Linked DNA regions of Schizosaccharomyces pombe. Changing the gene in region 4 together with the main gene of any one other region gives a genetic interaction. Each region holds a gene or a part of one and is shown on either strand. Other genes may lie near its edges. The genes, in order: spo20, SPOM_SPAC9G1.07, mca1 and SPOM_SPCC126.01C.

Evidence for each region.
Region 1: mutations in SPOM_SPCC126.01C (region 4) and spo20 together harm fitness more than expected from each alone (negative genetic interaction), as found in Schizosaccharomyces pombe (one large-scale study listed by BioGRID).
Region 2: mutations in SPOM_SPCC126.01C (region 4) and SPOM_SPAC9G1.07 together harm fitness more than expected from each alone (negative genetic interaction), as found in Schizosaccharomyces pombe (one large-scale study listed by BioGRID).
Region 3: mutations in SPOM_SPCC126.01C (region 4) and mca1 together harm fitness more than expected from each alone (negative genetic interaction), as found in Schizosaccharomyces pombe (one large-scale study listed by BioGRID).

Annotation. Positions count from the first base shown.
Region 1 is NC_003424.3:604,880-612,387, forward strand, and holds spo20 (sec14 cytosolic factor family, phospholipid-intermembrane transfer protein Spo20/Sec14), read left to right. Parts: upstream 1-4,089; 5' UTR 4,090-4,112; coding exon 4,113-4,271; intron 4,272-4,319; coding exon 4,320-4,622; intron 4,623-4,649; exon of another isoform or gene 4,650-4,818; coding exon 4,819-4,941; exon of another isoform or gene 4,942-4,963; intron 4,964-5,004; coding exon 5,005-5,280; 3' UTR 5,281-5,824; downstream 5,825-7,508. Other genes in the region: poly(A)-binding protein Nab3, read right to left, coding at 1-80, 136-476, 559-1,970; exosome 3'-5' exoribonuclease subunit Rrp6, read left to right, coding at 6,007-6,273, 6,332-7,508. UniProt on the Schizosaccharomyces pombe protein: Required for transport of secretory proteins from the Golgi complex. Catalyzes the transfer of phosphatidylinositol and phosphatidylcholine between membranes in vitro. Essential for viability and secretion.
Region 2 is NC_003424.3:1,979,259-1,986,325, forward strand, and holds SPOM_SPAC9G1.07 (Schizosaccharomyces specific protein), read left to right. Parts: upstream 1-3,734; 5' UTR 3,735-3,923; coding exon 3,924-4,949; exon of another isoform or gene 4,950-4,994; coding exon 4,995-5,180; 3' UTR 5,181-5,284; downstream 5,285-7,067. Other genes in the region: cytokinesis protein Cyk3, read right to left, coding at 106-2,699, 2,783-2,849; SPOM_SPAC9G1.08C (phospholipase), read right to left, coding at 5,310-6,035; putative mitotic spindle organizing protein Mzt1, read right to left, coding at 6,092-6,286; PAK-like GC kinase Sid1, read left to right, coding at 6,499-6,615, 6,672-7,067.
Region 3 is NC_003424.3:2,982,408-2,992,403, reverse strand, and holds mca1 (transcription factor), read left to right. Parts: upstream 1-3,550; 5' UTR 3,551-3,974; coding exon 3,975-6,068; 3' UTR 6,069-6,394; coding exon of another isoform or gene 6,395-7,618; 3' UTR 7,619-7,671; downstream 7,672-9,996. Other genes in the region: chaperone Rot1, read right to left, coding at 458-906, 1,133-1,247, 1,297-1,431; U2 snRNP-associated RNA-binding protein Sap49, read right to left, coding at 1,944-2,839, 2,897-3,008; SPOM_SPAPB1A11.03 (L-lactate dehydrogenase (cytochrome)), read right to left, coding at 6,395-7,618.
Region 4 is NC_003421.2:2,111,267-2,118,004, forward strand, and holds SPOM_SPCC126.01C (uncharacterized protein), read right to left. Parts: upstream 5,160-6,738; coding exon 4,050-5,159; 3' UTR 3,940-4,049; downstream 1-3,939. Other genes in the region: SPOM_SPCC576.17C (pyridoxamine/pyridoxine/pyridoxal transmembrane transporter), read right to left, coding at 372-1,892, 2,068-2,124; Ku domain protein Pku70 , read right to left, coding at 6,021-6,131, 6,185-6,394, 6,440-6,738.

The DNA.
Region 1 (7,508 bases), on a different chromosome or scaffold from region 4:
AGAAGCAGCTGAGTGCATGAGAGAAGTCTTTGCGTGGTGAACAATACTTGCAGCAACCATCACGTCCACAGCAGCATATTCTATAAAGACAAAGTTAGAGTTCTGTCAAAACACATATATCTTTATTCAACGTACCATCACAACGGACTTCTGAATCGCTAGATCCGTCTTTAAACACTTGAACCGACACCTTCCCTAGGTGAGCCAAACCGGCGTTTATCAAGATAATGGATTTAACGCTGTTAATAATACAGCTTTTAATAATGACTTGTAAGTTTGAGTCACGGTACAAACAAGTGGTATGTATATTCAATCGACGCTCCTGAAAGACTTTTTCCACTCCCCATACAAATTCCTTTGGACAGTCTTCCGTGACTAGTATTTCACAATCAGGGCTGAAGTTTTTAGACATGGATATAGATCCCTTTCTATCGTAGGATTTACCCTTCGACATTAAAGGAGATCGCGTGCGTTTTCTGTATTACGTTAGCAAGGCTAAAAAAACAAACAAAATTGCGATGTTTTGCGAAATTAATTGCAGCAACGATAATTCCTTACCTGCTACTAGTGGGATAAGGAAGGTTTCCAATCATTTCAGAATATTGATTACTTTTGGTAACATGTGATCCTTTCTTCATGTTTTCTATTTGATTTTGATATTTCTTCTGAATTTTAGAAATTTCCAAATGCAGCTTTTGACCCCGAACAAAATTGCCTTGTTCCGCATTTAAAGCCCTAGCACAATCTTCGTTTGTAAAAAACTGAACGAAACCATAATTTGCTTTTAAAACTATCTGTGCTAAAGGCCCATAAATTTTAAAAACTTTCCACAAATTTCGTTTAGATAAGCTCTTTGTATTTAGATGACCCAAAAATAAGCGAGAAGCTGAAGGAAATTGCCCTGGATACCAGTTTGACATTATACTTTCTTCATCTTTCAAAAATTGTTGAAATCTTTGTTCATCCTCTAAGTTCATTTGCAACGATTTCTCGGCAGCATTGTTACCCAAATATTCAACATTTTGTGCTTCATGATTAAGTTGCAAATTTTCAGGACTATACGCAGATTCCGGGGAACTGGGTGTCTGGGGATTATGATGTTCATGTAATTCATTATGCTCATTATAATAATTGGGCAAATTAGCACTATACGAATAAATACTAGTCCTGTGAGCCTCAGGACTAGTTGACAAGTCTTTAGAATAGGGAATAAAATCAGTAGTTCTATAAGGTAAATCTAATTTCTCATGAGACTTTCCATATTCAATTTCTTCAAAATTCACCGAGCTATAAGTTTTTGACGGATCATAATAAGTGGTGTTTTGTAAGGATTGTTCAGGTAAATGCTCTGAAGCGGTCTGAAAATCGTATACTTGTAAATCTTTAGTAGAAGAGTTTTCAGTTTCTTGTTCCACTGGTTCATTGGATATCGAAAAAGGCTTATTTTGCTCAACGTCGAGTGAAGGAGGACTTTGAGAGGTAGATCCGTTTCCCCCCGAAACACTTGGTTGAGTAGTGGAAAGTGAATCCTTACTTTGAAAGTCGGAAGAAGTTGACTCTAAAATTGGAGCTCCATATATGTTTTTAGAAATTTCCTCATTGTTGGTGTCCGAAACTGGAATATTATTATAAGTATCTGAAGGAGTTAACCGAATGTTGCTAGTAGCTGAGTTTAATATTGGTATCTCCAAACTTCCAGAAGGAATACCGGATACTTGATCAAAGTTTGCATCATCTGACTTATTCCCATCCTTATTTTCTAATGTACGTTCATCAACGTTGTTGAATAAAGTGTCGTCTTGTGTTTGTAAAGCACTTATCGAAGCAGCAGCCTGTTTGACAGGTGAGTTGTAGTCTGGTTCATATGGAGATGATACCTGGTCTTGAAGCTCGGAGTTTGTACTGGTTTCTAAAATATTCTGCACAGGAGTTTCCACTTGGAACGAAGAATCTTTAGACGAGGATGACATTTATTGATTGACTTGAAAAGTAAAACCAAAATAAAACATCAAATTTTTTTAATTTATTATTATTAACAGGGAATATGAAGGAGAATTAAGAGGACAGAGTAACAAAAACAAAATTAGCTTTAAAAGATTAAAGTACTAAATTTTATGCATTTGATAAACTGGTCCAATTTTTAAATAAAATATTTACACAAGGTGCAATGAATGGAAATAACTAGAGGGTGAAACAGAAAAAGTAAAAATTTCACACTCAACCAAATGTGTAAAGAGTTGGCGATTAAAAGGAAATTTATGCAGATGGTTTTCTTCCAACTACCTTTATTTTTTTTTCTTCTTCACAACTTTATGTCTTAGGTAGAAGATACGGCGGAGTGGTACTAAAATTGCATCCTTTAAATAGATGAAAAATTAAGTTGCCACTCAAATGAATGGAACTTCGGGCTTTTCAAAACCACCGCCAGGGAAATGACATGAAAACAATTTTACTATCCCGAAATTTTCTTTTTTTCAGCTTCTGCACTGATAGCATAATCGTTTCCAAAACAAACTGTAAACTAAATTTTCATAAAAGCAGTAAATTTTCAAACTTGGAGATATCGGGGTAGGGTTACCGTTATTGCAGTTCAAATAACCATTGCTATTATTTAATATGTATAAAAAAACCATGTAGTAATAGACTCGTGTGCAAAGTACACTTCAGCTGGGTTTGAGGTGCAAGGTTGCCAATTAAGAAACGTAGTACTGATTCTTTTCACCTCTACCATACTTATTCAATGTTAAATGCTTATAACATTGATATCCACGGTTTTCATCCTATATTCAAACTATGCTTCCTGCCTTTAGTAACAAGCTTGCGTAATGCATTGTTTCCTGCATTTATTCGTTTGTTAAATTATAACGATATTTTGACGATTATACTATCCTTCCGTAACGTTAATATAATAATCAAAAATTTATATTGTTATAGGTCTTTAAAGGTAAAATCAATGTAAATAAATGTATTATTGCTAACATGTAGAAAATTTGATACTAACTTGAAAATTTTATGCAAGTACAAAATGGACTGTCCATTCAAGCAATGCCTTTCACTCTTGTATGTTTTGTTAAACTTTGCGTGGAAGAAACGCTTTCAAAATTATGGCTGAAGTTCGATCGAAAGAGAAGGAAACAATAATTACGTTTGCGAGACAAAACTAGTTTTTAAAAAAATTTTGTATATATATTTAAGTGGCTGTTAGTCTAATTATTATTTATTTTATTCATTCTTTAGATTTTATTTTATTTTATTTTTTATGTCGTATAGTATTACTTTATTTACGTTTCAATATGTATTTTTTGTTAAATTGCTTATTCACGAAATATTTTTCCATTTGCAATAAAATTTCTTTTCCTTTACTATATTTGCTTATTTAAAGTTCTTTTTTAATCACAACTCTATGACAATTTTCTACTCCTCATTTATAATACGAAAACTGAACAATCATAAAATTGAACTGTTTTACTTCACATAAATATCCAGCTACGATACTCCTATACCGTTTTTACATAGACAACAATCTCAAAATCGCAATATGATCATCCATTTACATATTCTATACTCTATGTACTATAACGCTTCTTAGTGCCTGGTTTACTCTTTCAAAGCTGTCAGGTGCATAAATATTGATGACAGAAAATCACCACAAGCGCACTCAAAGGCTTAAATAAAATAAACATTATCTATCGTTCGTTTTTTTTGGTAAAGAAAAAATGCTTCCACAAAGTTAAATTGTCACTTTTTCCCCATGTTTTATTTACCTTCAACGCCTCGTTGAAGGCCATTCTGCATCTCAAATTTGTCGCACTTTTCATGCAAGTTGAAAAATTGGTTATACACAATTTAAACCTCATACGAGGAGCTTCTTCCTCTCATCTGATTTTTAACACTGAAGTTTATCCTCATACTCACATATAACAATAGCGTTGGGTGTAGCATGGCAACAAAGGTTCCTGCGGTAGTAGGTAAAAGGCCCCCACGCTTGACTGATCCCCCACGGCTGATGACCACTAGTATTAAGGTCGCTGACGTTCTTCCTTTTCCTTTATACATCTTGTACAGACTGGGTCATTAGGTCTTCTCTCTACAACCATCGTCTAAACAAAAAGATGTCAGAAACTATATCGGATCCTTATCCTCTAACTAATCCAAATGCTCCATTAGGGCACCCAGGGCATTTGAATTCTACACAGCAAGCTACGCTAGATAGCATGCGTTTAGAGTTACAAAAACTTGGATACACGGAAAGATTAGACGATGCCACTTTAGTAAGTTGTACAGCAGGAAACTTTGTGTTTGTACTAATGGATTCTTAGTTGCGTTTTTTGAGAGCCCGTAAATTTAATTTGCAACAGTCGCTGGAAATGTTTATTAAATGCGAAAAGTGGAGAAAAGAATTTGGTGTTGATGATCTTATCAAAAACTTTCATTATGATGAGAAAGAAGCCGTTTCCAAATATTACCCTCAATTTTATCATAAAACTGACATCGACGGCCGTCCGGTATACGTTGAGCAACTCGGTAACATTGATTTGAAGAAGTTGTACCAAATCACGACTCCCGAGCGTATGATGCAAAATTTGGTTTATGAATATGAAATGCTTGCTTTAAAACGGTTTGTAAGTAAATTCAAATGATTAAATGTATCTCCAGTAATTCTCATAATCAAACCTTTCCTTTGGATTTGCATATTCCATATAAGGCTGGTTTTTCGGCTTTTTAATAGAAAAACTTTTGGTTTTCTACTGTGTTGAATTTTTTGTGATATATTTTTTCATTTTGATATTTCTTTTCATCTTTATTAACCGTCTTCAGCCCGCTTGTTCTCGTAAAGCAGGAGGCTTGATTGAAACTTCGTGCACAATCATGGATCTAAAGGGTGTTGGTATTACTAGTATTCACTCGGTTTACAGCTACATTCGTCAAGCATCAAGCATTGTAAGTTGAAAATGTTGAAATTTTTGTTCTTTTTTTTTTTTTTCAAGTATTAACACGTTAAAGAGTCAAGATTATTACCCCGAAAGGATGGGCAAGTTTTATGTAATTAACGCTCCTTGGGGATTCTCTTCTGCCTTTAATCTTATCAAAGGTTTTTTGGATGAGGCAACTGTCAAAAAAATTCATATTTTAGGCTCAAACTATAAGAGTGCTCTGCTCGAACAAATCCCTGCTGATAATCTTCCTGCTAAACTCGGTGGAAACTGCCAATGTCCAGGTGGCTGCGAACTATCTGACGCCGGTCCATGGCATGAAGAACAGTGGATGAACAAAAATTAGACTTCTTTCTCCGAACGGGATTTAATTGCTAGAATAGATGAATGTGGTTTGTCCTTTGATAAGAGTAATAGTGTGTAGAGTTTTTGCCGATCTTTCAACTTTGTTCTGCGTTTTAGTTCTTAAAGGTCTTCGTTCTATTTTTACTCAGCATCTCAGGTACTTCCTTCTACTTACGGTTTACTATTCGACGAAATTATCGTATATAGATCGAAGCATATATAAATATTTTATTTCGAAAGTCATGTGTTGATCCATCATCAACATCATGGGATGGTTGCTGTTACAATTCTTAATCCTTATAGAAGGTCTCAATACATATATCGTTCATTAATTTTCCAAAAAAGGACGCTCGATGATCCAACTGATTTGATTGTTTCATCCATTCTAGATTATCCGAAGTTTTTAAATTTGTAATTCATCTACTTTGATTATTTTTTTACTTTTTGATCAAAATTGAATGCCTATATTATAAAAGACCTCTCTATAGTTGCCTGCTAATAGTTTCACAATTTTGAACTAATCATAAATAATTGCTTTTACATAATTCTGCTAAGATTTTGCATTTGTGTAAAATATTTTATATATATAAAAATAGCTCTTGTATTTCGTACTTTAACGATGTCTATATTCAAGTTCGGTAATTCGTTGAGCGTGTGGTAAAAGTGCTTGAAAATTCCTGAACCAAACCAAAAACCTTACTGATCCAGTAGGGTAAACAATAGCATAATGGATGAGTCAGAATTGTTTAAGGGTTTAATGAATAGTACAGCCTATTGCTCTGAATTGGCAAAGGTTGATATACCGTTTTATAAATCAATTGATACCGAATTCAATGAAAACATAAAAAGTGTTTCTTCTCGTTTTATGAGATTAATTGAATTGCTTCTTTCTAAAGTAGACAGAAGTCGGGCGGAGGATATTGTGGACGTTGAAGATATAGATAATAGATGGGCAGAAGTATCGGACACATTAGACATACTCTTTGAAAAAGCTGTAAGTGAATTTTTGAAATTGTAAACGGATTTTATTTAACTAAGACGTATGAATATAGGACTATTCTATCGATAAAGCTCAAGGACTTTTAAAAAAGCCAGCGATCGAAACCCATGCGTCGACAAGCGATGTTGCCAATAAAAAACCAAAGAAAGAAAAGTTGCCCTACAAGGTTATTCACGCAGCTCATCTTACTAAGCCTCAATTAAGGTTTCGAGTACAGCCTAATAATTCCAGGGAGTTTGTGTGGTCTTGGAAGTTAACTGAAAAACCACATTCGTTAGTACCGCTCGAAAAGATTATCGCTCAAGTCAAATTGGACCCTAGTCTCAAAAACTCGTTACCACATCCATATGAACCAGAAATACAAAATAGCGTATATCCTCCATGGGTTTCAGAAATGTCTAATCCCATCGATACTGGCTCTGTCGACGAAACAGAACCTATCTGGGTTAGTACTGAAAGTCAGTTATCGGATATGCTAAAAGAATTACAAAACAGCAAAGAAATAGCCGTTGATCTTGAACACCATGATTACAGATCATTTAGAGGGTTCGTCTGTCTAATGCAAATTAGTAATAGAGAAAAAGATTGGATTGTTGACACCTTGGAACTCCGCGAAGAGCTTGAAGCTTTGAATGTTGTTTTTACTAATCCAAATATCATTAAAGTTTTTCATGGTGCAACTATGGATATCATTTGGCTGCAAAGAGATTTCGGGCTTTACGTTGTAAACTTATTTGATACATACTATGCTACTAAAGTTTTAGGATTTGAGGGTCATGGTCTGGCTTTTCTGTTACAAAAGTATTGTGATTATGATGCAGATAAAAGATACCAAATGGCTGATTGGAGAATCCGTCCTTTGCCTCGGGAAATGTTAAAATATGCTCAATCTGATACGCATTATTTGTTATATATTTGGGATCATTTACGAAATGAACTCATATCAAAATCAGCTGAAAGAAAAGAAAATCTTATGCAATCAGTGTTCAATTCCAGTAAACAAATATCTCTTAGAAAGTATGAACTTGAGCCTTATGATCCTATTTATGGACTTGGTACTGATGGCTGGAGAAATGTACTTACTAAGTTTGGCTCTTCTAAAATAATTGGACGGGAAGCTTTGATGATTTATCGAGCACTGCACGATTGGAGAGATTCCGTAGCCCGAAAAGAAGATGAAAGTGTTCGCTATGTGTTGCCAAATCGTTTACTTATTGCGATTGCCGCCA
Region 2 (7,067 bases), on a different chromosome or scaffold from region 4:
TAAATGAATAATGACTTAGTTGTAAACATCAACCTTCAATATTACACAGAACAGACATTATTTATAGGAAAATTTATAGGATAAAGTCGCAAGATTTGAAATTATTTAAACCGCCTGCCAGGTTGCATAGACTACCCATCTTCCTATCTTTTCAGCCAAAATTAAAGCTCTGTATTCTCCTGTTTCATTAATTGTTAAGGAAAGGCTGAAAAAAATAACGCCATTTCCAGATCGTTCTTCTCTTAAACGCACAATGTTTCCCGTCGGGGTCTGTATTGCTAATCTGGTATTGCTAATGGAGGTAGATGGCTGGCAGGCATAGGCCGAAACATTAAATTTGTATTCAACACCAGAATGCAATGTACCACATTGGGGGGAATTAATATACAAATCAACCGATGGACAATGTGGTACAGGATGACGAGTCACAAACTCTAGAGCTTTATTTTTGCCATGATGTACAAATGGAAGAGACATTGCCATAGGATGAGGTGCAGTCCTCACGGGACTAGAGACTCCTAAGCGACCAGCGTATATCCTTAGCACCGCAGCACGATTATTAGCAGGCATAACAGCTTTAACTCTCATAACACGAATATCCGGAGTTTCCCAGAAAGCCTGTGTTAACGTGTATTTATAACACTGTGAAACATCAGCAGTAGGTGCTAAAGCAGATAGAGCATCAACTTCAGCAACGCATTCAATATCCTTTGGAGCTAAAAATTCGATTTGTAAAACTTCAAGGTCATTTAAATGTAGAATACTGGTATTGAATTTACGCAACTTCAATCCTAAAGTAAAATACACAGACGATACCCAAGGTAATGCCATTACTATAGGCATAGACAAATCTGGCATTATAAACTGCTGGTCCGGATTCTCAGGTACGTGAGTAAATATACACTCGTTTGGTTTCATTAAAAAATAAAAATCATTGGAGCTGCTGGATTTCAAGGCCTGCTGTGGGTGTGTTGGACTGGCAAAACTAGCATCAATTAGACGAACCTCATTGTCAAATGTAACAACATTCCAAGCATGATTTATATTAATATCTCTGGTATAATAGATGTCATCTGGTGATTTAAGATATCCTTCGATAACCTCACACCATAAATCTAGTGCTTGCAACATTTCTTTAACCAACAGTGCAACTTCAAAAGGAGTTCCCTGTCCTTCGGAAATTACTTGTGTACTTGTGCGTAATTCATCATTGTCCAAAGTTTGATTAGTGAACGTAATACGTTCAGAAATATATATAAAGACGGCTCTCATTTGAGCGAGCGCAGTCGTTTGTCCTGGAGCTAAATAATTTTTTGCAAGTACAGCAGGACTGACCTGGACACGTTGTGGAATAATTGACCTTATTTGTTTATCAATAGCACTAAAATTCATGTTATGAATATTAGTACCTACAGAGAACTGCACTGGCTCGCCGTCGGCTAAAACATTCCCAATACATTCACTGAGATCCTTCAATGGTTCATATACCGGCATCGAAAGCTTATTGAAGATTTCTTCCCGTTTCGCCGCAAACTCGGCTTTCGTGTATGTCTTTGTACGTTTCAAATCATCTTTTACTGATTTTAATGTATGAGGCGATGCAGGACGAACACCTTTTTGAGGAACATTGTGCGCCGGATAACTTACCGGAGGAGTTGGTTGGAGACTGGGCTTACGTTTTGACGATCCACGACGCAAAAGCTTTTTGAAAGTTTTTTTTAAAAATCCACCACCTTTTCTAAACGATTGAGCAGTTGAGGGTCGCTCCGTTGTTTGCGGTCTTGGCTTTATAACATTCGACGCGGTGGTCCGAACTTGAGTTAGTGGTATCAATGTTGAAACGGGTCTGGGAATAGGTGCGGGAGCACTCTGAAAACGCCTGTGCTGCGGAAAATAATCAGACGGAGATAAAACTGATGAAGCCATGGAAGGTTTTCTAGAAATATCTCTTGAAGACTTCATAGGTGATTCTCCTGGTTGCAAACTTGTTCTTGGTTTTGACGAATTATCTGTTGAATCATCCAGCTTGGATCGAGAAGTCATACTTGTGGACCCATGTGCAGGAGGGACAGGAATGAAGTCCGTTTCTTTGCTAGTTGTAGTGCTTTTCGTAAGTCTTAAAAGAGGGGAATTCGCTCGACTAAAACTTTTTTTGCCCATTGCATTTAACGATTGAAGAACATTTTCCATAGCACTTCTTAAAGGGGAAGGTGTAGATCTACTTAAATCTTGGGCATCAATCTGAGAGTCGTTATCGGCTGTATTGTCCCATCTGGAAGAGACATCTAAGTTGGTACGAGACATTGAAGATGGCGGTCTAGATACGCTTTTCTTAAGTGACAGACTTGATCCTAGCGAATTGAGCATGGGGTGACTTTTTTGGTGTTTTAGTGAGTCACTCTCTCGGGTTGGTTTATTCAAAGCATTTGAGCTTCCAACGAGATCAGGAGTTAGACCTTGATCAGATGAAGTTATTGGGGTGTCTATAGAGCTTTTTTGAGGAGAAGAATATCTAAAGCTAGAAGCGCTAGTTCTTGACATAGAACTGCCAGGTCGTACCGTGGGAATATCTAAACAGTGAACAAAGTTGCTAGGAAATATCCCTTGTGTATTAGTATTGATATGTCTGCCAATCCACCATTTTCCATCACCTATGCTTAAGCATTCTATTAAATCTCCTTCTGTAAATTTTAAATCACCTGAAAACACATTAATATATATTTTTTAAACTTTACATCAATAATTGCGACGTTACTTAACAGCATCTTTAAATGTTACGAACCTTCACGTTCACCTGGCCATGCATACAGAGCACGTACCATGCATGGTAGTTGTTTAGGAATGGACATTCCTGAAGGCTTAAAGGAATGAAATTATAGTCTTTGGTAGTTAATATAAAAAACGAGCGGAGCGGAAGTTCCGTAACGTGATGTGAGTTGTGTATGAATGTGAAGATAAGATTCTTATTTAAGCGAAGTACACTAATAACTTTGTTTTTTTTTTAGAGCTCAATTAACCGAGTACATCATAATTTTTCTAATAACGCGACTTATATACTTAGCGCACAATTAAAAAATGGAAATATTTTCAATAATACTCGATAAAATGCAGATCGGTAATAAATTCAACCATACTAGAATTTCATTTTAGGAAAATTAAAAAAAGAAAGATATTTGGCTACCATGAAACATTCTTTAACGATAAAGAGTGCGATGTTAGATTCATTTCATGTAGATTATAATTGATTTAGTGAGAAAATTTACTAAAATTGTTAGAAGTCCTAGAAGGGTTCATTTTAACTTGAAATATGTGGTACATTTGCACTTCTGTAATTTTTTTAAAGAGCTTTTTGCACAAGACATAATATTCAAATGATTTGAAACCAGCATCCATATTTATGCGCACTTTAAGCCATATTATTTAGATGAAATAATCTAGGTTTTAATTTACCAAATGTAATTTTCAAAAATTTGCACGATGCTTCAGTCCATATGAGATTCCTCTTTAATAAAGCTAGCAACTTTCGCCAGAGTATTAGATTAATTGTTTACTAGCTTAAAATTTGTTAAAAAACTCTGTCCTATTTTAAAATGATTACTTATAAAATTTATTCTTCTTCCGGAAATTTAATTGAGTTTATTTTATTTTTAATTTCACACTAAATACGTTGAACGGATTTAAGTTGCCTACTTGCGTTGCACACGATGTGGTGGCTTAAGTCGCTTACCCTAGCCGAACCGCTTTCAACTCATCTTGAGCATTTATACTAATACTCTAAAAAGGTTCCTTTTATAAAAGAAGTATAGTTAAGGCTCTTTTTGTTTTCTTTTTAACCCGAAGTTGATGGCACCTACGTTTTTTTTATCCACTCATATATTATTAAATTGAGAATCTACAACTTAAAGAACTGGAATGTGATTTATATGGATGATTTGCTGAACTCTGTTAGTTTTTCGAACGCCTCTAATCCTCATAATGCATGGGGTAGTGAAAATATATCCAACTCGAATTCAGCAATTCCCTCAATTACTAACGATGTCAGTTTTTCAATGGAGGCATCAGTCTGGAAAGAAAATGCTCTCAATCTTGACACATTTAATTTGAAAGATATTAATGAAAAGTTGGATTACACATTTGGCGTTGTCAAGCCTCCTAAACGGATTTCATTGGCATCCAAAGATTATATAGGTATTACAGCTACCTCGGAAACCAATTTTAGACAATTAATCCGCTTAGGATACAATGAGAAAAGTTTAGGAGAACTAAAACAAGGAACCATTAGTCGTTTACTTAAAGAACATATGACTTTATGGAACCAAGAACGGTCTAATGTAAATCGAAAAAGCAATGTGCTTTTTTGTTGGTCAACAGCTTATCAGAAGCAGAAAAGGAAAACAGCAAGCTATACCAATTCACCTGTCACACCGCCCATCAATGACAAAAATATTTTGTTACCGGAACAGTCTCCTTTATCTAATTTTTCTACGACCAAGATTTCCAGTATAAATGTTCCTTCAGATATACTTGATTTTTCTAATTTATCATCGAATGAAATTCCCAAGGATTATTCTTCTTCTACGGCTCTTTTAAATAATACAGTTGCTGTTAAACAGGATCACAAATTATCTGCAAATACTTTCCTTTCTTCCCCAGTCAAATTGATTGAGAGGGAAAGCAACAGTTGTTCTACAATTTCAATAAATAAAGAGGATGAAGTTGTTCCAAAATCACCACTAAGTTTGGATCGTAAAAAAGTTGATGAAGTCGAAGAACATTCATCAATCGCTAAACTTGACTCTGAAGAAAAAATTAGAGAAACGAAGAAAAAAAATTCATCAACGTCTCTTTCCCCGGATCCAACCTCTGATAATTTTGAATGGGGTTCATGGGTCAGTTCCCAAGATACCTCGAAAAACTCATCGAATTTAGCTTCTGCTTCCGTTGATGATGTAAGTGAAGAGTCTCAAGTTGAGCCAAATACTCTAATTTTTCAGAATTTTAGTTCACCTTCTACTTCATTGTCAGCTCCTAAAGACACTCCGGCTGTTATTCAATCGATCAATACTTCGTTTCTTAATAATGAGAGAGCAGGGCGTGGAAATATAAAAACAGTTGACCAAAATCAACTAATTAATAGAATTGTTGATAAGCTTCCGGATCTTAGTTATCTTGTCGATTGAAAATCTTAATGATCAAAAGGTAAACGTACTAATTTTAATCACATAATGGCTAGAGGAGTTATTGTTATATCTATGCCCAAATGAATATTAACTTTATTGTGAACAAATGTTAACTTAAATAAATCAATTCTAAAAAGATGTAAGAGGAATTGCATCTTCAAACAACGTGTTGTGAATATACAAATGTTTACTAATAGATTGAACGAATGTATACCATTCTCTAGGGGATGAAGGCATGTCAGTTTTATCATCACGATTCCAACATGTGAGGTGAAATGGTTTAAATGTTTTACGTAATCGCGATTCTTCATATTCGCTGCATGAACAATGCAATCGCTTTTCAAACAAATACACTGGAACATGAAATGGATGATTGGGCAAAGTTATGGATAGCGGTAGAGTACCTCCAAAGGAAAATATCCCTCCAAGCTGGTATTTAGTAGACAATTTATAACAACTATATAAAGCAACCATAGCTCCTTGACCAAACCCGAAAAAAAATATTCTAGAAGATAATATACCGTAAGAGAGTAGATTGCCAATTAAATTTGAAATCATCGTAAAACTTTTAGAGAAATCGGCTTCAGATTGCAGTTCCCCGTTTTGATCAAAATGGACATCCTCTCCCCACATCCAATTGCCTCCAGGATTTTCAAAATCTAATGGTAATCGATATGGTCCACGTAAGGAAATATAACTAGTGTTGGGCAACGGAACGTTCTTTGCCATATTTGCAAAACTCTTGTGAGAATCTCCAAGTCCATGCATTAAAATAACTACATTGTGAACCTTGTCTTTCCCTTCAATAATCTCTGCGCATGCATTTGAAGGTAGAACACTGTTTAAAGAAGACATTAGATAAAAGAAATACTAAACCCCGAGGTCAACTATTGAGATTAAACTTCTTGCCATTAACTTGGTTCTGTGTCAACAGTTTGTTCCTGAGCCATACGTATTTCCCGAATTATTTGAGCTATTGCTTCTGGGTGTACGTTGTTTTCACAAAGACTGATGCAGAGTGAAAGCGTTGTTTTATCAAGTTCAGTTCCAAGCAATGTTCCTATTTCGTATAAAACTTCTATTGTCTCTTTGGTAGATTCAGACATAAAACTCGATACTTTATAATAAACTAGTCTAATTATATATACTTCGTAACAAGTTGGTAATGTTAAGTTTACTGGAATAGGCGTCTCGGAGTAGCTCATTATAATCCTCTAAGTAATAAACAAAGTACTTCGTGGTGCATCTAGCTTGTGCTTGTAAAACGAAACCGAAAGTAGGCTCAACCTCAGATTTGAGCAGTCAAAATATTGATGAAATGTATCCTCTCAATGCTAATTCTTATACTCTGCTACGGAAATTAGGATCAGGTTCATTTGGGGTTGTCTGGAAAGCACGTGAAAATGTGTCTGGCGACATTATCGCTATTAAACAGGTAAGACTAATTAATTTTTACTCTTCTTTAGTATCACAAAAAACTTACAGTTGCAGATTGATTTAGAAACAGGTATTGACGACATTACCGACATCGAACAAGAGGTATTTATGTTATCGAATTGCAACAGTTCCAATGTAATTCAGTATTACGGTTGTTTTGTTGACGGATACACATTATGGATTTTGATGGAGCATATGGATGGAGGATCAGTTTCGGGACTTTTGAAAATGGGAAGGTTGAATGAACAAGTAATTTCAATCATTCTTCGAGAGGTCCTTTATGGGCTAAATTATCTTCATGGACAAAACAAAATCCACAGAGATATCAAAGCCGCCAATATACTACTATCTTCCTCTACCGGAAACGTAAAGCTTGCTGACTTTGGAGTTGCCGCTCAACTTTCGAACGCTGCTTCGCGTAGACACACGTTTGTTGGAACGCCATTTTGG
Region 3 (9,996 bases), on a different chromosome or scaffold from region 4:
AGACAATATAATTACATAAAATAATTTGCTTGACACAATAAAAAGAGAGGAAGCTTCCATTATTTAATTATTTGCCAAAGGCTGTATACAAATGAATATTTTAATAATAAACAGTATGATAACCAATGTCACCATAGTTAAACTTATTGAGAATTCGAATCTACGAAGATTTACGTGAGAGTGTTTAAATGTTGTATTAAACCAACTACTTGTTTATAAAAAAAAAGAAAATGAAGAAACTATAAAGAATCACTAAATGTATGGAATGTAAAAAGAAAGTAAAAATTTTAAATGCTAAAGCGTTTAATCCCAACTCGTCAGCGTTGAAATGAGTAAAATGGAATGCCATCTTTTTAAATGAAAACGCATCGTATAAATGAGCGGTAAAAAACGATTCTCAGAAAGAAATGTAAATTTGAATCCAATAACAGTAGAAGATGTCGTCAATAAAACACACTCAAGATACTACTAAATACCCAATACTTCCAATTGCAATCAAACCTAATCCAACCCACCAAATGGTATTGGTATGCTTCTGAGCTAACGGTACTAGAGGAGCCGTCCAGCGCTTTGCTGCAGTTTGAATAGTATTAACGGCAATAGTTGAGGTAGGGAGCATCTTAGGTGGACGGTAAGCTAAAAACATTGGCTGCTTTGGTGTTCCGTCCCATTCATAGAGCTCTAATTTGTAGCGACCATGGTATCTATCCATAGAAATTTCATATTTTTCCATAGTTTCAACTTGATCATAACGGGTGTAAACAGAAAAATTGCTAGTACAAGGATCGCTTTCTAATTGTCGTCCGTCTCCAACAAACGGAGTTAATACTAAAGTACCGGTATCATTGATAGCATAAGTTCCATGCTGCCATTGTAAAAAGCCTTTGGGACATTGAGGCTTTGTAGCTAAATTGGGTTAGCAAAAATATTAAAGAAAAATAATATCTTCTCTCCAACATATCCTTCCAAATGGAAGAAAGTTGGTTACTTGGGGAATTTCGCTAAACATGAACGAGAAAGTAGTCCGTATATCCCAATAGTTACGTCTTCATCGGCTTTAATTCCTTGGATCAACCACACTGTAGGTGTTGACTGGAGAAGATTTTACATATTATAGAGTATTATCACATACCATTTGATTTGATTATGTAAATAGCTTCCTCAAAAAAGCCATCATCAGTAAAGCTATAACTAATACCCGGTAATTCAGGTTCGAAGAAATCCTCATCCAAAGGGTCAAAGAAATCCTGCAGAGGGTTAGTTAGACAATTTTTTGAAAATCAAAAGTTAGCTTACGGGGCCAGTCAAAACAGTTTCAGACTTGGAAGACCAAGTTCCGACTAGATTTTCATCGTAATTATCAATTTCCGCACCAACATATTGGGTGAGCCACAAACAGGTAAACAAACCAATTTGATAAAGAAGATGCATTGTGCTGAATGCTTTCTTATAGTTTTCTAAAGGGTCGAATAAGAAGCTGTTACCAATGTTTATGCAAAAAACTTCTATATGGTTGTTGACACAAGTCTTCGTGTACTTGATTTATTTAGTTTTACGGGATAACGAGTCAAAAATAATACTTCACTAATATTGGTCAAGAGATTAGCAGCTTATATTTAATATAATGCTTAGACTATACTTTCGTTTGGATTGTATACATAATTCAATGTATCTGAAAATATGTTGGATTGAATTAATGCGTCGTTTATAGACTATATTGCCGATATTTAGGGACGAAGTAAAACTCATTACTAGAAAAAGTCAAACTGTAAAATATAAACAAACATCAATTTTAATTTCTTTTAAATAAGATAAATCTCAGCTTCCACTTTTTTTACTGTACACGTTAAAAAAAAAATCAACCATACGGATCAATCTCAGCTATTTTACTATGCCGGCGTTTGAGCAACAATGGTAGTTATTTTGCTTCTTTTTAAAATATTTTACCTCCTTTGTTGTTGACTGTATCCATTTTGTGCATTGATTGTTTGATAAAATGGTATGTTTGGCATTACAGGAGCACCAGGTATGGTAGCAGCAGCAGGAGAAGGAGAAGCCATCACCATTCCTGGTGGTGGAGGGGGGACAAGTGGTGCACCTCCAGGGCCCATTGGAACATTCATCATTGGCATAGCAGGCATTCCAGGGAAATGCTGTGCAGCAGTGAAAGGAAGAACATTAGGTATTGACAAGGGAGGGACGGCAGTAGTTGCTCCCACTAGAGGAACATTCGGTACAGGAGGTATCGATGTAGCAGCAATTGTTGCTGGAGTATTAGCAGCAGATGTTGGAGCAGGAGTGGCGGGTGAAAATCCTGGAGGCAGAGTACTCTGAGGAGTAACGGCAACTTTATTCTTTTTAGCGGCTGCTGCTAGCTTTCTTTCCGCAATATCTCCGTGACGTTCACCCTTTCCTTCGCGTTTAAAGGCGTATGACACGGTAATTGGTTTATTCATTAAAAACTGATTATTCATGGCCTCAATGGCTGCATCAGCGGTTTCAAAAGAATCGTAGCTAACAAAACCATAACCTTTCGACCTTCCATTCTCGTCTCTTGCTACCTGAGGTGCCTTGACAAGTTGTCCCAAAGCAGAAAATGTATCGTACAATACGCGTTCATCAACAAGAGGATCCAAGTTGCCAACAAATAAATTTGCACCAATTAAGGTATTGACTCCTCTGTCCTGGCTAGCTCTATTGACCCTTATAGGCTTTCCAAACAACTTTACTTGATTCAGAATTTGACATGCATACTCAACATCTTGTTCGTGTAAGAATTCGCAGAAACCAAAGCCATTATGACTATTCCTTACTCTATCTCTTGGAATATGAATATTTACTGTATGAATTAGTATCGAAAGCCACAAATACAACCAACACTCGAATAATTACATACCAACTGGACCTGCCTGCAGGCATAACTCAAACAAAATAGAATCCGTTACTTTTTCATCAAGATTGCCAAGATATATAGTTGCATCCTGATTCCTGTCTTCTCGAATACTCATTAATAAATAAGTAAAAATAAGTTAAAGTGTCTATTATAGAAATTTATTAGAATAAATAGATAGACACGTTTGAAGACGCTGGTAGAAGATTCAAGAAATTGGTGCATAGTCTCGTTATTGACTTAATGACGAGCACCAAATAGCACAATAGAAAACTAAATTACAGTATTCATCGTTAAAATTTCAGTGTCCAGCGTTTTCCAAACACATTTATGGAGATTTTTAATACTAAATCTTCGTTTTTTTTTTATTATTTTATAATTTTACTCATGAGATTGAATTATATTCAAGTTGAAGGTACAGTTGTGAATGGTAGACTGACGAAATATTTTTTATAGCAACCTATCTCTTTATACAGCCCTAATTTCCTTACATCCATCGTACACTAGTACATTTAATAGGTTCATTTATTAACTTTTTGTAAAAACGATGTTTGGCCATGTATATTTATTTTTGCTGCTGTAGTTTTGAACACAACTGAGGGCTTATTTATGTTACCCTAGATGGGCTTTTTACTCCCATGTGGTCTTTGTAACCTTCTTATGATCTTCACCCTTCAGGTGATACCACGACTTCAGTTGAATTTTATAGCTTTTCGAGTGTGTTTTTAATCAAAATATTTCTGTGATGTTGGTGTTTTGAAAAAGCGTACTTGTGTAGTCCTAGATGCCCCTTTTTTCTTTCACTTAAGTCTATTATTGTTTATGTTTAATTTTCTACTTGCAAACTTTTCGAAAGGACTGTTCGTAGCCTTTACGTTTATTGCTTATTTATTTTTTCTGATTTAAGCTCGTGAGCTTTTTCTAACAGACGTACGATCAGACAATTGGCACGTCTGCTTTTCTTTTCTTTTCTTTTTTAAGACCTGTCTACTCAACGCAGGATTTCTTCGATTATCTAGGTTTTTAAACGGTTTAAAAGGACACAGAATATTTTATTACTTCATTTTAGTATTTTATTTTCGACATGATTGCTGCTGTCGAAAAAGATGCTGTGCCTCGAAAAAGGCGAGTAATCAGTCAAGTATCTCAGGCATGCATTCGGTGTAGGCAGAAAAAAATAAAGTGTTCTGGTGAAAAGCCATCATGTCAAGCTTGCAGTAACAACAAAGTTGAATGCATTTGGCCTGATCGACCGAATATGCGAGGCAAAAAGCCATCTTCCGCTGCCAGAACCTTGAGTCCTCTTACTGGTATAGTGCAACCGTATCTGGGCTCTCATCCTTTTTCTCCTACGATCCTCTCTCCATCATCTCCTAACATGGATTTTACTTACTCTATTAATAGCTTTGGTGACTATCAGAAGCAGTTAAGGCTACCAACCAGTAGAAAGTTATTACAGCTTTGGGACATATTTCTTAAAACTTCATATACCGAACTTTTTGGGATATTTAATAAGGCCCAAATTACGTCTCAAATTGCAAGTGATACTGCTCCGCCAGTCCTCGTACTTTGTATATGTGCTCACGCTGCTCGTTTCAGTCAAGAGGAAGTCAATAGATTTAAATCTTCAACTGCAGCATCTGATTACTACGCAAACCAAGCCTTTTCACTGCTTCCTTGTCGTTTCCAGGATATTTCACTGACTAATATCACTTGCCTGCTCTTGCTTTGCTTAATTGAGTTGGGCTCTTGTAGAGGCGCTAAAGCCTGGCTTTTACTGGGTATGGCTCTCCGTATGGTCGATTCTTTAGATCTTGGTAACGAAATAAATGATAATCCTCTTACGATGGGATCCAACACTGTTTCATGGACTGAAGCCGAGCAGAAAAGAAGGGTTTATTGGGCTTGTTTTTTTGTCGAACGTTTGCTAAGTACAGGTTACATGGCACCTTCAAAATTGCGCTCACTTTCTTTATCTCTTCAAAAGACTAGTATACAATTACCTTGTCCGGAACCTAATTTTTTATTTAATCAGCCAATTCTTACTGAGTTATTTGATGGATCTTTACCGGAAAACACTCAGTCAGACACCACTTCAATGGCCCCATACCAAAGAAGTTTACAACTGGAGTTTATGACGGGTTCCCTAATCCGCTTGTCAAATTTGTGGAGTGAGATCTCAAGATGGGCTCTATGTGGTGGATACACGAAAGATATCACACCCCCTTGGCTAAATCAGTCTCAATTCCATCGTAGCTTTGAGCTTTTAAAAGCCTGGCATGAAAATTTACCTCCAAGAGCAGTTTGGTCATACACTAACTATTCGGCGTATAGTTCTCCCGGAGAATCGGCTGGTGCCTGTTACACTTTTATGCATTTGCTATATCACACTACCTTGACCTATCTTCTGAGAAACGTCTTAGATTTATTTCCTGAGAAGTCGAGGCAGAAATCCAAACTTTTTTCCTCTGTTTCACAACGCTTCGGACAACAGCCTCCTACTGTATGGATGGATATGATTTTAGATCAAGTCATTACTTCTGCTGATTTCATTACAAAACTTTCAAAGGACCCCTTAAACTACATAATGAGCCCATTTGTGGGGTTTAGTATATTGACTGCTGCTACTATCCATATGCTTCTTAAGTTTTGTGTTGTCAACATCGACCAAAATTACATTTCTTCCTCTCGACTTGTACACGTTGATCATCAGATTTTACAGGATCGATCCAAATATTGGAAAATTAATCAAGCAATGTTGGTAACTCTTCAGAGATTGTATAATTTCTACCGCTTTCAGTATTTAGAGGAACAGTCACTTTACAATTTCAAAATTCCAGGATTTCCTTTATGTATTCTAGAATATGGTATAGTGGAAGATCAGTCGATGAAGTCTAATCCTGATCTGAATTCATTTTCAAAAGAGTTGTTTTCAAGAGGAACAAACGAGCTTTTGAATAATGGCGATGATACTCAAAGTGGGAATTCGACACCTGCTATGGGTGTTTCTGAAATACGAACTGATACTATTCTGGATGAGGAAGTCCCCGTAGACCCACTGATCACTTCGATTTTAGATGACGGTCGCTGGTGGGAGGAAATGTTTGGATCAGAAAGGAAGGCGGGTTTTAAGGAAACGGTGTTCGAAGACATGAATGGAAGAAGTATTCGATTGTAAATTATACGATGTACAATAGTTTCTTTAGTTTTTGTTTCTTTATTCTTTTGTATACTAGCACTCTAATTTAAAAAGCTTATAATGCTTTACTTTTTCTACACCCCTGGAATTCCTTTTATTCACGAACTCGAAATTAATGATATTGATGGAACTGGTTACTTGAGTCAGTTTCTCATAACACTTATTGATTGCTTTTTATGCTTATTAATATAAGTTACTCATATTCTTATTAATGGGTAGTTTTATATTACTCATAGCGTAAATAAATATTAAATGGTATAACGGGAATTAAACTAAATTTGCTGATCATTAACTAATGCATAAATTTATTCCTCCTTATATAAGACATCACGGTTTAAGTCCTTTGGTTTCACAGATACAATACCAGATAGATGTAGCGTTAATTCCAAATCTCCCAAGAGACAACGAATGACATGACTAACACCGGATGAACCTTCAAGGGCTAACCCGTAAACATAGGGACGACCGATTAAAACCATCTTAGCTCCTAATGCAAGGGCCTTGGCAATGTCAGCACCTGAACGAACACCAGAGTCAAATAGAACATCTAATTTATCACCAACAGCATCTACGATCTTTGGTAGCATCGTCAAGGAAGCAACACCTCCATCTTGTTGTCTACCGCCATGATTTGATACAACGATGCCCTGCATGCCATATTCAACTGCCTTCTTAGCATCAGGAACATTCATGATACCTTTGAGAACAATTGGGCCATCCCAATGTTTACGAAGGAACTTCAAGTCTTCCCAATCATGGCTGATTCCAGGAAAGACAATTCCAGCAAACTCTTTAGCTGCCTCTAACATATTTTCTTCGACTTCCACACCATGCTTCTCCTTAAACTGCTTACGGAAAACGGGGTCGGAAAATCCGTGTTCAACACCGATGCTGTCAGGATTTAAGAATGGATCGTAACCATTGTCCATGTCTGAGGGACGCCATCCAAGAATAAATGTGTCAAGAGTAACTATCAAAACTCTGCAGCCCGTTTTCTTGGCGCGGTTGAGCAAACTAATGGTAATGTCTTGATGGTCATTGCTTGGCCAATAAAGTTGATACCATCTCTCTCCAGGACCACTAGCCTTTTCTATATCTTCAAAGCTGGTTGCAGACGCAGTACTGATAATATAGGGTATATGCTCTCTAGTTGCAGCGGCACACGATCCACTTTCACCCTCTGGATTGAAAATTTTTTGTACTCCTACAGGAGCCAAGGCAATAGGAAAAGGATATTTTTGGCCAAAGACAGTGGTAGACAAGTCGGGGAAACCAGACTTGATGAGACGGTTAGGAATGATGGACCATTTCTTAAAGGATTCCATATTTTTATCATATGTCTCTCTTTTTCCTGCACATCCGTAAACGTAGCCGGCGGCATCCTTGGTCATTCGCTCAACAGCCAGTTGCTCCCAGTGTCTGCCATCTACGGTGATTTGGGGTCTTTGAAACTTGAGACCTTTAGCGTAAATTTCGGACTCATATGAAATGGGCTCTTTTGCGTCAAACCAATTGTAGTTGCGGAACATAGTTAAATCGTATTGAGAATTTATTGATTACTTAGATAATGTCTTCGAGAAAGGGAAGAATCCAAAAATGTCGTAAAAAAGTAATAGAAATTAAAATGATGAGTTTCTTAACTTTTAAGGTTCAAAAGTCTTCTGATATTGCAATGAATGAGTGAAAATATCGGACCGACAATTTCAACTTGGGACGAGGAGTGTATAAAGGCGAAGTTGTATTTTTTTAATATTTCTTAACAGATAAAGTGGTATTTAAAAGTAATAGTTTATATTGTTTTTTATTACAGCAATTCAGTGCTACATTTATAACTTTTGGTTTTCGAAATTATGTAAATATGACATCTCAAGTTTCATATTAAAACATTTGTAAACGAATTCGCTTTCCGTACCCATTGGGAAAAGCGAAATCCCGTTTTTGTCCAAATTTGAAACAACCAGAGATGATTTCATGAAACCTTTCATTAATTATTTTCCTAATGAATTTAGATGTATTGCGCTCAGCTACAAAGTCCATGTTCATTTAGCATCCTTTCTTATACTACGATGGCAAAACGGCTAGCATGAAATCGGTTCATTTCTACAATATACAAAGTAATACTGACATTGATTTACCTGCTACTAAAAGGCCCACGTGCCCGTGGGTTTCTCTAGCTAGTTTTTCCAACAGGACATATCTTATAACGATATAATGGTGAGTAAGTTAAGCATATTATTTATAGCATAATATCGTAATGAGGTTGGTAATTAATATTTTGCAAATGGATTCGTCTTGTTCTGCAACTTTGACATGTTGCTAAACCGTTCAATCTATTCTTTGCTAAAGAGGCTATAGGAGGCCAGAATTAAAGGGGGTGGTTTGATGTCCGGAAAGCGTATCGACCGATATTGTAAAAAATTATAATGTTAAATAAGAAAAAAAAAGTTATTACTTTTACGTTTCAACACTCAATTCAACGTCTAAATGACAAAGGATGAACTCTTTAGGTGATCAAGTCAATAATACATAATAATGTTTGGTATGTAACAAGACAACAGACATAACTACGACCCTGTGTTGCTCCGAAAACGCCGCTGAAACTGGTACTTTGAGATTCATAATATATGTCGTCAGGGTGAAAAACTATTTAACAAAAAATAAAGTACATCACAACTATCAGATATGGGATAATCGATAAGAAACAAGAATATCTATTATTATTGTTATACTATTTATAGAATCACAAAATGCATTCTGCAATACTTGTAGCTATATTAACAGTTCTATAATCAACCAGTAGTGGTTGTATTCAAGAAATCTAACTAAATGCTACTTGCTTGATCACATAGTAAGCGTTCTTAAACACTGGAATTACCACAATTCCAGATTATAATAGTATGCAAGTATAACTATCCCGATATAACGAAACATTACGTCACTTCAAATAATGTACATCGTAAGAAGACTTAAAGGAGAAAAGTGCTCAAAAGGAAATTTTCTTCTAGATACAGTACAAATGAGTTTGTCGTATTAGTTATTAAAGATTAGAATTTAAAAACCCCGTATTTTTTATCCCAAATATTATTATTATTATGTTTTTTTTGGAAGTTTTATAATAATTTTATTTTTTTGGTACAAAAGGACAACTAAATTAGTTCCAACATGTTATACTTTAAAAGCAAAATACATTTTGTAGCTCCGAAAGCATTCATCTTTGGTTAACGTGATATAACTCATAATTTGATTTTTTTAACGGATTTATCTCCTTCCGCCAAAATATATCATTCTAGGCCTCGACTTGGAGGGAATAGAATTTTGACAGGTGAATTGGATTATTAATGAGTTTATTAAAAAATATCAGATTTATGAAACAGCTACTCTTACTATTGGCGTTCGGTTCTACCCAATTGGTTGTTACCAGTGTTCACGGATAATTAAATAGTTAAGTATGATGAGTGTTGTTTGAAGAGTTCATTTGTTGCTTTATTTAATTAATTTTAATATTAAAAGCCTTATTTTAATAATTGACAATTGTTAATTAACGAAACAAGTCTTGCCTTTCTTATAAAATGAATAAATGAATAGGACAAGTTTCAATCCAGTAGATAAATCAAAGTTCCTTTTTTACATTTATTATTCCATAAATTCAAAGCAAACCTCACCTAAAGTTAGCCATATCATAAATTATACTCATCTTTCTACCAGCACATGTATGTGCGGGATGAATCTCTCTTAGGCGCCTTTTAACAGGTAAAGTACCTTAAAATTTAAGAGGTGGAGAGACAATGGATAACACATAGTCAATAAATCCCGGACGCCTGCTTTCTTCCGAAGATGATTTCTTGATAAAGTGGCTTTGTACTATATTGAATTGCATAAATTAAGGCAGACGTCAAACTTCTGAGGA
Region 4 (6,738 bases):
CGTAAATAATAATGATTACCGTATTATTATTATTGTTCACAATTAAATATGCGGTTTCAAAAAATAAAGGATTAAATGTGAGGGAGTAGAGGGAATGGAAAAAAGCCTGTTCTGGCAAAAAATGTGAAATCCTTTTATATTGTTATTAAACGACAAAAACATGATTATAGAATCATAAACAAAATGTGAAAGATATTAAAAGTATGAAGAAGTGCGTATGCGACAAGTGAATCCGGTTTCAACCTATTATTTCATGCAGGAAGTTATAATAACAAAGTTATCAGTAAGATCACCAAGTACATTTTGGTGCAATTTATCGATCGGATGGGGTATATGAAGCTTGATGTATTATACTTCATACATATTCGTGACTAATGGGCAGCCGTGTTGATTGGAACTCTTTGAGACGCTAGCTTACTACGAGCGCGAATTCGGTCGCCATAAAAGTAGAGAGCATAAATCAAGGCGATTAAAGGGAGGGAAGCAAAGCCTACGACGGCTGTGGCCCAATGGACGTTCATTCGGCTGAACATTAAAGCACTAAGATGGATAAAGCCGACAGCACCTAAATTGGAGGGAAGCTCGAAGGCGGCGACAGCAGATGCTGAAACATTGGGATATGCATCTGTAACATACAAAAGCATTGCCTGCCAAATGTGATAATCGGCAATATTGAAAATGGTCAAACCGATCAATGACACTATATAATGAATATGCACTTTACTACAAAAAGCAAACATAAAGATACCAATTGGGAAACCCCACACGTAAAACAGAGTCATTATAAAGCGTGCTTCTGGTCGTAGACGATTTTGATGTTTTCGCTTATCACGCTTATATAACCAACACTGTAAAGGCTCAAACCAGAGGAGAATTACGCAAGCAGGCATGGCAGCCATATATGTGCATGAAGCAGCCATATCTGACATCTTATAAATTGAGAAATACACAGGCCAAATGGCTTGTAAAAAGAAATATAAAAGACCATTGACAAAGCCGTTGTATATTCCTAATGAGCTTACAATGGGTTCACTAAAGAAGATCTTTATGGCCATGAAAAAGACAAAGTATGTGTCCTTTGCCAGTTTCTTCAAGCTGAACTGGGGAAACCAGGAAACTGGAAGCCCTTGACGTTTTTGCTCATAACGTTGTATTACAATGGCGGGCAATGTTTCGGGGGTAAAGACGAAGAGAATGATGAAAAATCCGCCTACAATAACATCAATCCAATATAACCACCTCCAAGTCAACTTTGGGTTTTCGGCAACCCCGGTTCCCATGGGTGAGCCCACGGATGCAACGGAGCACATGAAAATAAACATGTACATGCCCCAATTTGAATCTTCATCGCCCAAGACGTCGGCGACAGCTCCAGCAACATTGCCTAAAGCGGTGGAGCCCACGACACCCATGATCAGCATGGAAATGACGAGTTGCGCATAATTACGGGCAAGAGCGCAGGATATACAAAAACACACATAGATGATTAAAGAGCCTATATAAACCAACTTCCTACCCAAAAGGTCGGACAGCGGACCCAAGAACAGAGGGCCCAAAGCGACACCCAAAACAAACATACTCTGACCTAAAAGTGAGACCTGAGACGACAAGTGCCACAACTCCATAACAGAGTCTTGTACACCAGGATAGAAATTGGGTGTCCAAAATACATACATTTGAAGTGACGTGGATAGCAACACAATGTACGCTTTTTTCCACCAGCCCCAATTTTGTGGATGAGCAGGATGTTCATTGGAAATGCCAGCAAGTTTATAGGCATAGTCAGAGATATCTTCGTTCTCTTCGAGTTCGTATGTATCAAGTTTGGCGATACTATTATTGGACAAATGGGGTTCGACGACCGATTCTCCCAGCTCAATGTCTAAATCGTTCTAAAGAAAAGAATTTGTTAGTGAAAATGCCTTCATGAGCAACATCCTTTTTTTTTTTTTTTTTTTTTTATAAGAAAAAGTGAAAGAGGGAAAAAATAATTTTTCTATAGGACTCGACCAAGGATCCTCTGGTACTAGCGCAACCTCTAAATCAATAGTCAAACGCCCTGCATACCTTTTTTGGACTTATAGACTCACTATGGACATGCATCACATCGTTTGTATCATTCATGCTGTGTGAATTCGAAGATGTTATTGACATTTTGCTAATATGTAATGAGCGACACCGCTGTCTCCCACTGACGCACAAAAAGAGAGTGAGACGAAAGGACGAGAAAAAGGATCAAATACAGGAAAAAAGCAATGGTAATTAGTCAAGTTCAGCGAACTCTTGAATACGTTTTGCTGGGTTTCCTGCAAATACCTGCAAAACGAATAATGTAAACAAATCCGGTTAGTCGGAAAGATGGGTTCCCCTTTGATGGAGCCGGCTACCAGCCTCTATTTAAACTTGCTCAAGAGAGAATTTAAGTTTGACATCATAGAAGCGGCTTTTCTCGCTATTAATTTGATTGGATGGGTAGCCGTTGATCCGTGATCGTAAGTTTCCGAGTTGCCGCCGATATCTCCCTTCTTACCTCGTCGCTAAGGGCGGTCTCCAGGAGTCTCGACGACTGCCCGCATAAGAGGCGATCGATGAATGGTGGTATTTGGATGAATGACTGTTTAGCGAATCCAATCATCGATCTGCCTCTGTAATGACCAAAGGGGCGTTCGTCATGTGTACGGGCGAAGCTAAACGCTGCGTGGTATGACCCCATAGGGCGACGCTTCGATACATTAAAGCCAATTGGGAAGCTACACTGAAATGCCCTATTGGGGAAATCGCTTTAATATTCCTAGGAAGAGGCGGTTATTAGGGGATAAACAAGTAGGAGGTTTATGGATGGATAAAGTGAATAAAGGAATGGGAGGGAAATGGCGTCGTACACATCCCGTTCATACATTGACGGCACTACAAACAAGAATTTAACTCTGTGTATCGAAAAAAAAATTTTCGCGACCCTTTTTCAGCTTTATCAGCGTTGATGGTTGCTTGATAAAGCGCCAAACACAAAAAATCATTCATCAAAATTAGTACCTTTTCTGCCTCGCACATACTTCCATGTATAGACTCATGTATCAAATTCTCCATAGATAATATCGGCACTTGGGCGGAAAGACGAAAGGAAATTTTTCCTGAGAATGACTTTTAATTCATCATTGGTGTTATTTACTTTCTTTCTTTTTTTTTCCATTTGATCTACATTTGATCAGATTTGACGTTGGTTTTCGTCGTGCGACAATGTTCATTCTTTAATTACATACAGATAGGTGAATTGTTGTATACTTATTCTCTGTTAAAAAAACGAAAATTATGTATTGTTGTTTGGCGAAAAATTGGGGAAAGCGCTTTTTGCATGCCTTTCCAATATTATGCTTTTCTTTTCACTTCAATTCCCCAAAGCTAATTAGGTTACTATCGAACTTTCAAGAGCCCTTTTTCTTAGCAAAGGCTCTTCTTTGTCGGCATTTTACATTGCTATCTCTCTTTTTCATTTCACCTTTCAATATTCTGGCTATTCTCATCGGAATGACATGCTTTGTTGTCACGCAACTGTCTGGCCATACTTCTTTCGAATTTCAAATTTACGGATATTTACCCATATAGCGGGTTTTCGAATTTATTATACTCATCTCGACCGGATGTACATTTAGTCAGTGGTTTCCAAACATTCATGAGTCATATTGTGTGCGAGGCCGAGCTGCATTCCATAAAGTTTTACTAGGAAAAAGGTGAGTAAACCTTTTATCAAAGACTTGCTTTACTCTTGACGTGATGCATATAATTAATTTTTTTTTGCTTTCTTTTCCAACTCTTTCTTCTTATATTTACTTCTTTAGTTGATGGGCTTTCCTTATAAGCAGCTACTCGCATTGCCATATATGAATTCGGACAAAAGGATCTATTTTCTAACTTCTTGATCCGATTCCTTATTTTGTTTATTTTTTAAACTCCATATTCGTTTAATAATCCAATGCACTGATTCTATACAAAAAAGGGAGCGTTTTTTTTACTGATTAAATGTAAGAATTATTTGCAACAGTAGTTGAACATCAATCGTTCATCAATTCCTCTAGCTCTGCAAGCTCTTCTGCAGTTAACTTGGTAGAAGGGGGTCCCAATGATGGGTGATCGTCTGCTTCGTTGTTGTCTGCAGAATATTCTAAATCCCACACTCTTATCGTTTGATCCAGGGAAGAACTAATCAAATAAGATTTCCACTGTAAAATTTTTGTCACTGATTCATAGTGCCCAGAATATATATCTTTTACATTACCAGTTGTTGTATCCCATACACGAATTTCTTCATCTCTGCATGCTGTTGCTATATTTCCATCAGCTAGAGTAAGAACATCAGTGCATACGTCTGGGTGTTCCATTCTAGTTTCTTCGTGTATACCTTGATACAAGGACCATTCTCTAACAGTTTTGTCTGCCGAAGCTGTCCATAATGCCTCAGAATCTTGTGGATCAAACAGTAAACAATAAACGTTGGACTGGTGTCCCCAAAAACCTTCTTCCTCTAACTGACTGCCGCCAACCTTAGTAATATGCCAACACCGAATACTGCTTTCGCTGCCACACGTCCAAAAAATGTCTGTGTTGGGCTGTCTGGTAATACACTCGATTCCACGACTATGTCCTGTAAGCTTGTACAGTAGGCGACTTGGTTGAGAAGAAACATCCCATACTATTAAGGAAGCATCTGTTGACCCAGATAACAGTAATCCCTCTTCTTCCAGTAACAGTAGACATTTAACGTAGTCAGTGTGACCAATTAGCGTTTCAACGCATTCACCTGTTGAGACATTCCATTTTTTTATGGTATGATCCCAAGAACCAGTGTAAATATGCCGTACTTTGCCGTCTTTTCGAAGACTTTCAATTTGACAGCATGTGACAGGACCTGAGTGTCCCTTATATGTTTTGCAAGTTTTATTTATTTCCAAGTCATAAAGTTTGCATATATGAGAAGCTTCACACACAAATAGTCTAGGGAATTGCTTCTTTTTTGGTGTAGTCCGATCTAGCTCAATATTCAAAATCTTTGCCTTTAAATTTCTAGGATTCCCATTTGGATTATGTGATTTCTCTTCTTTTCTTTTTTCATCTTGCAACGCACTCTCGGAGCGAAAAAAGTATGAAGGATTGTTGGTTTGCATTTGATCGTCGCCGTATCACATAAAAAGCTGAATTCGGTTACTTGTATTGACCATATATTAGTTAGTGCAATATTTATTGAAAATTTAAATTGTTATTAGGCACTTTTTATGTTCGTCAAGTTTCACAAAAATTCAAAGAAATGCAAAGAAAAAAAATTTAGCAAAGAAAAATCGTAATTTTGAATAAACAGCACTTTTACGAAACAAAATATCAAAAGCAATTCAATTAAGTAGTGTTATTAAAGTATTATTTGCTTTAAGACCTTTTTTCTATAGTTTAAACTACAGTCTTTATAATGGTTAGATTGAGGACAAGGTGCAGAACTTTAAGATTACAAATTGACTTCTGAGTTCAAAACGCATATTCGCGCGATCTAATTAACATCCTACTGTTTTCTCAGAAATCTTTTTAAAATGTGAATGTAGGTGTCCGATACCTTCTTAGTATTTAAATATACGTTAAGACTATGATTACTATAAAATATTTAACTTATACGGCAAAAAATAGAATTGATACAATTTACGACTTATACTACTTTGAAAAAAAAATTAACTTATATGTATTAAAAAAACACTCAAAAGAAGCATACGTTAGTGAAGGTTGAATTGTTTGTCGAAAGTTCAGAGAAAGACGTAGTCAGGTAATAACATATTACATTCTACAATATACACATTATCATTTGCGGCAAAATTCTTTTTCTTCCTGTTCCCTATATTCTGAGTTGGTATGCTCAAAAGCTTTTTAATCATATACGCTTTAATAAAATAATTTGATCGTTTTATAAACAAGAAATTTTATCCTGATTCCATTATTGTTTCATAAACATGATGCTGATATTTAATCCTTTAATATTTTCTTGTTTATAATTTTTTGACATAGTTCGTTAGATTGTCTAATAAATCTGCCTTTTTACCGCTCACTCTAAGTCCACGATCCCTGAGAATATCTTTAAGTTGACTAACTTTTAACGCCTTCATATGAACTGTTACTAATCAAGATCTTACAAGATAAATGAAGTACTTACTTTTATCTCCTTGTCCAAAACTCCTTCGATGTAAAGCTGCTTCAGACGATCATCTTCAGCAAATATAGGTTTTCCACTCTTTTCTATTCGAGCCTTTTTCACAATTGGTCCCTGATCCTCTTCTTCCTCTTTTATTCCGTTTTTATCAGAAATATCGTTACGATATTCAGCGACAATATTATTAACATCGCCCATGTACTCCCCGACGCGCTAAAATGTTAACATGGTTGTACAAGGCAACTAAAGCTTTCATACCTTTTGAATAGCTTTGTATTTTGGTAGAGTATTATCAACAAAGTCAGTCGGAATTTCTTCGTCAAGCGCCAGCGCTTGGAGAACTTTGTAATGCCACTGCAAAGATGGGTTGTTATATTTTCCTGGCTGGTATGAACGCAGCTCCATACCACGTAAAATACGTTGCATCGTTTCGATTAAATTGCTAGGCATGGATATCGGATTCGGATTGATAGGCGGGAGACTACGGATATCATCTGCTGTTGGAAGTTGAACAAGAAATATACCTAGCGGTAATTCAAAATCGTCTCGAATGTGAA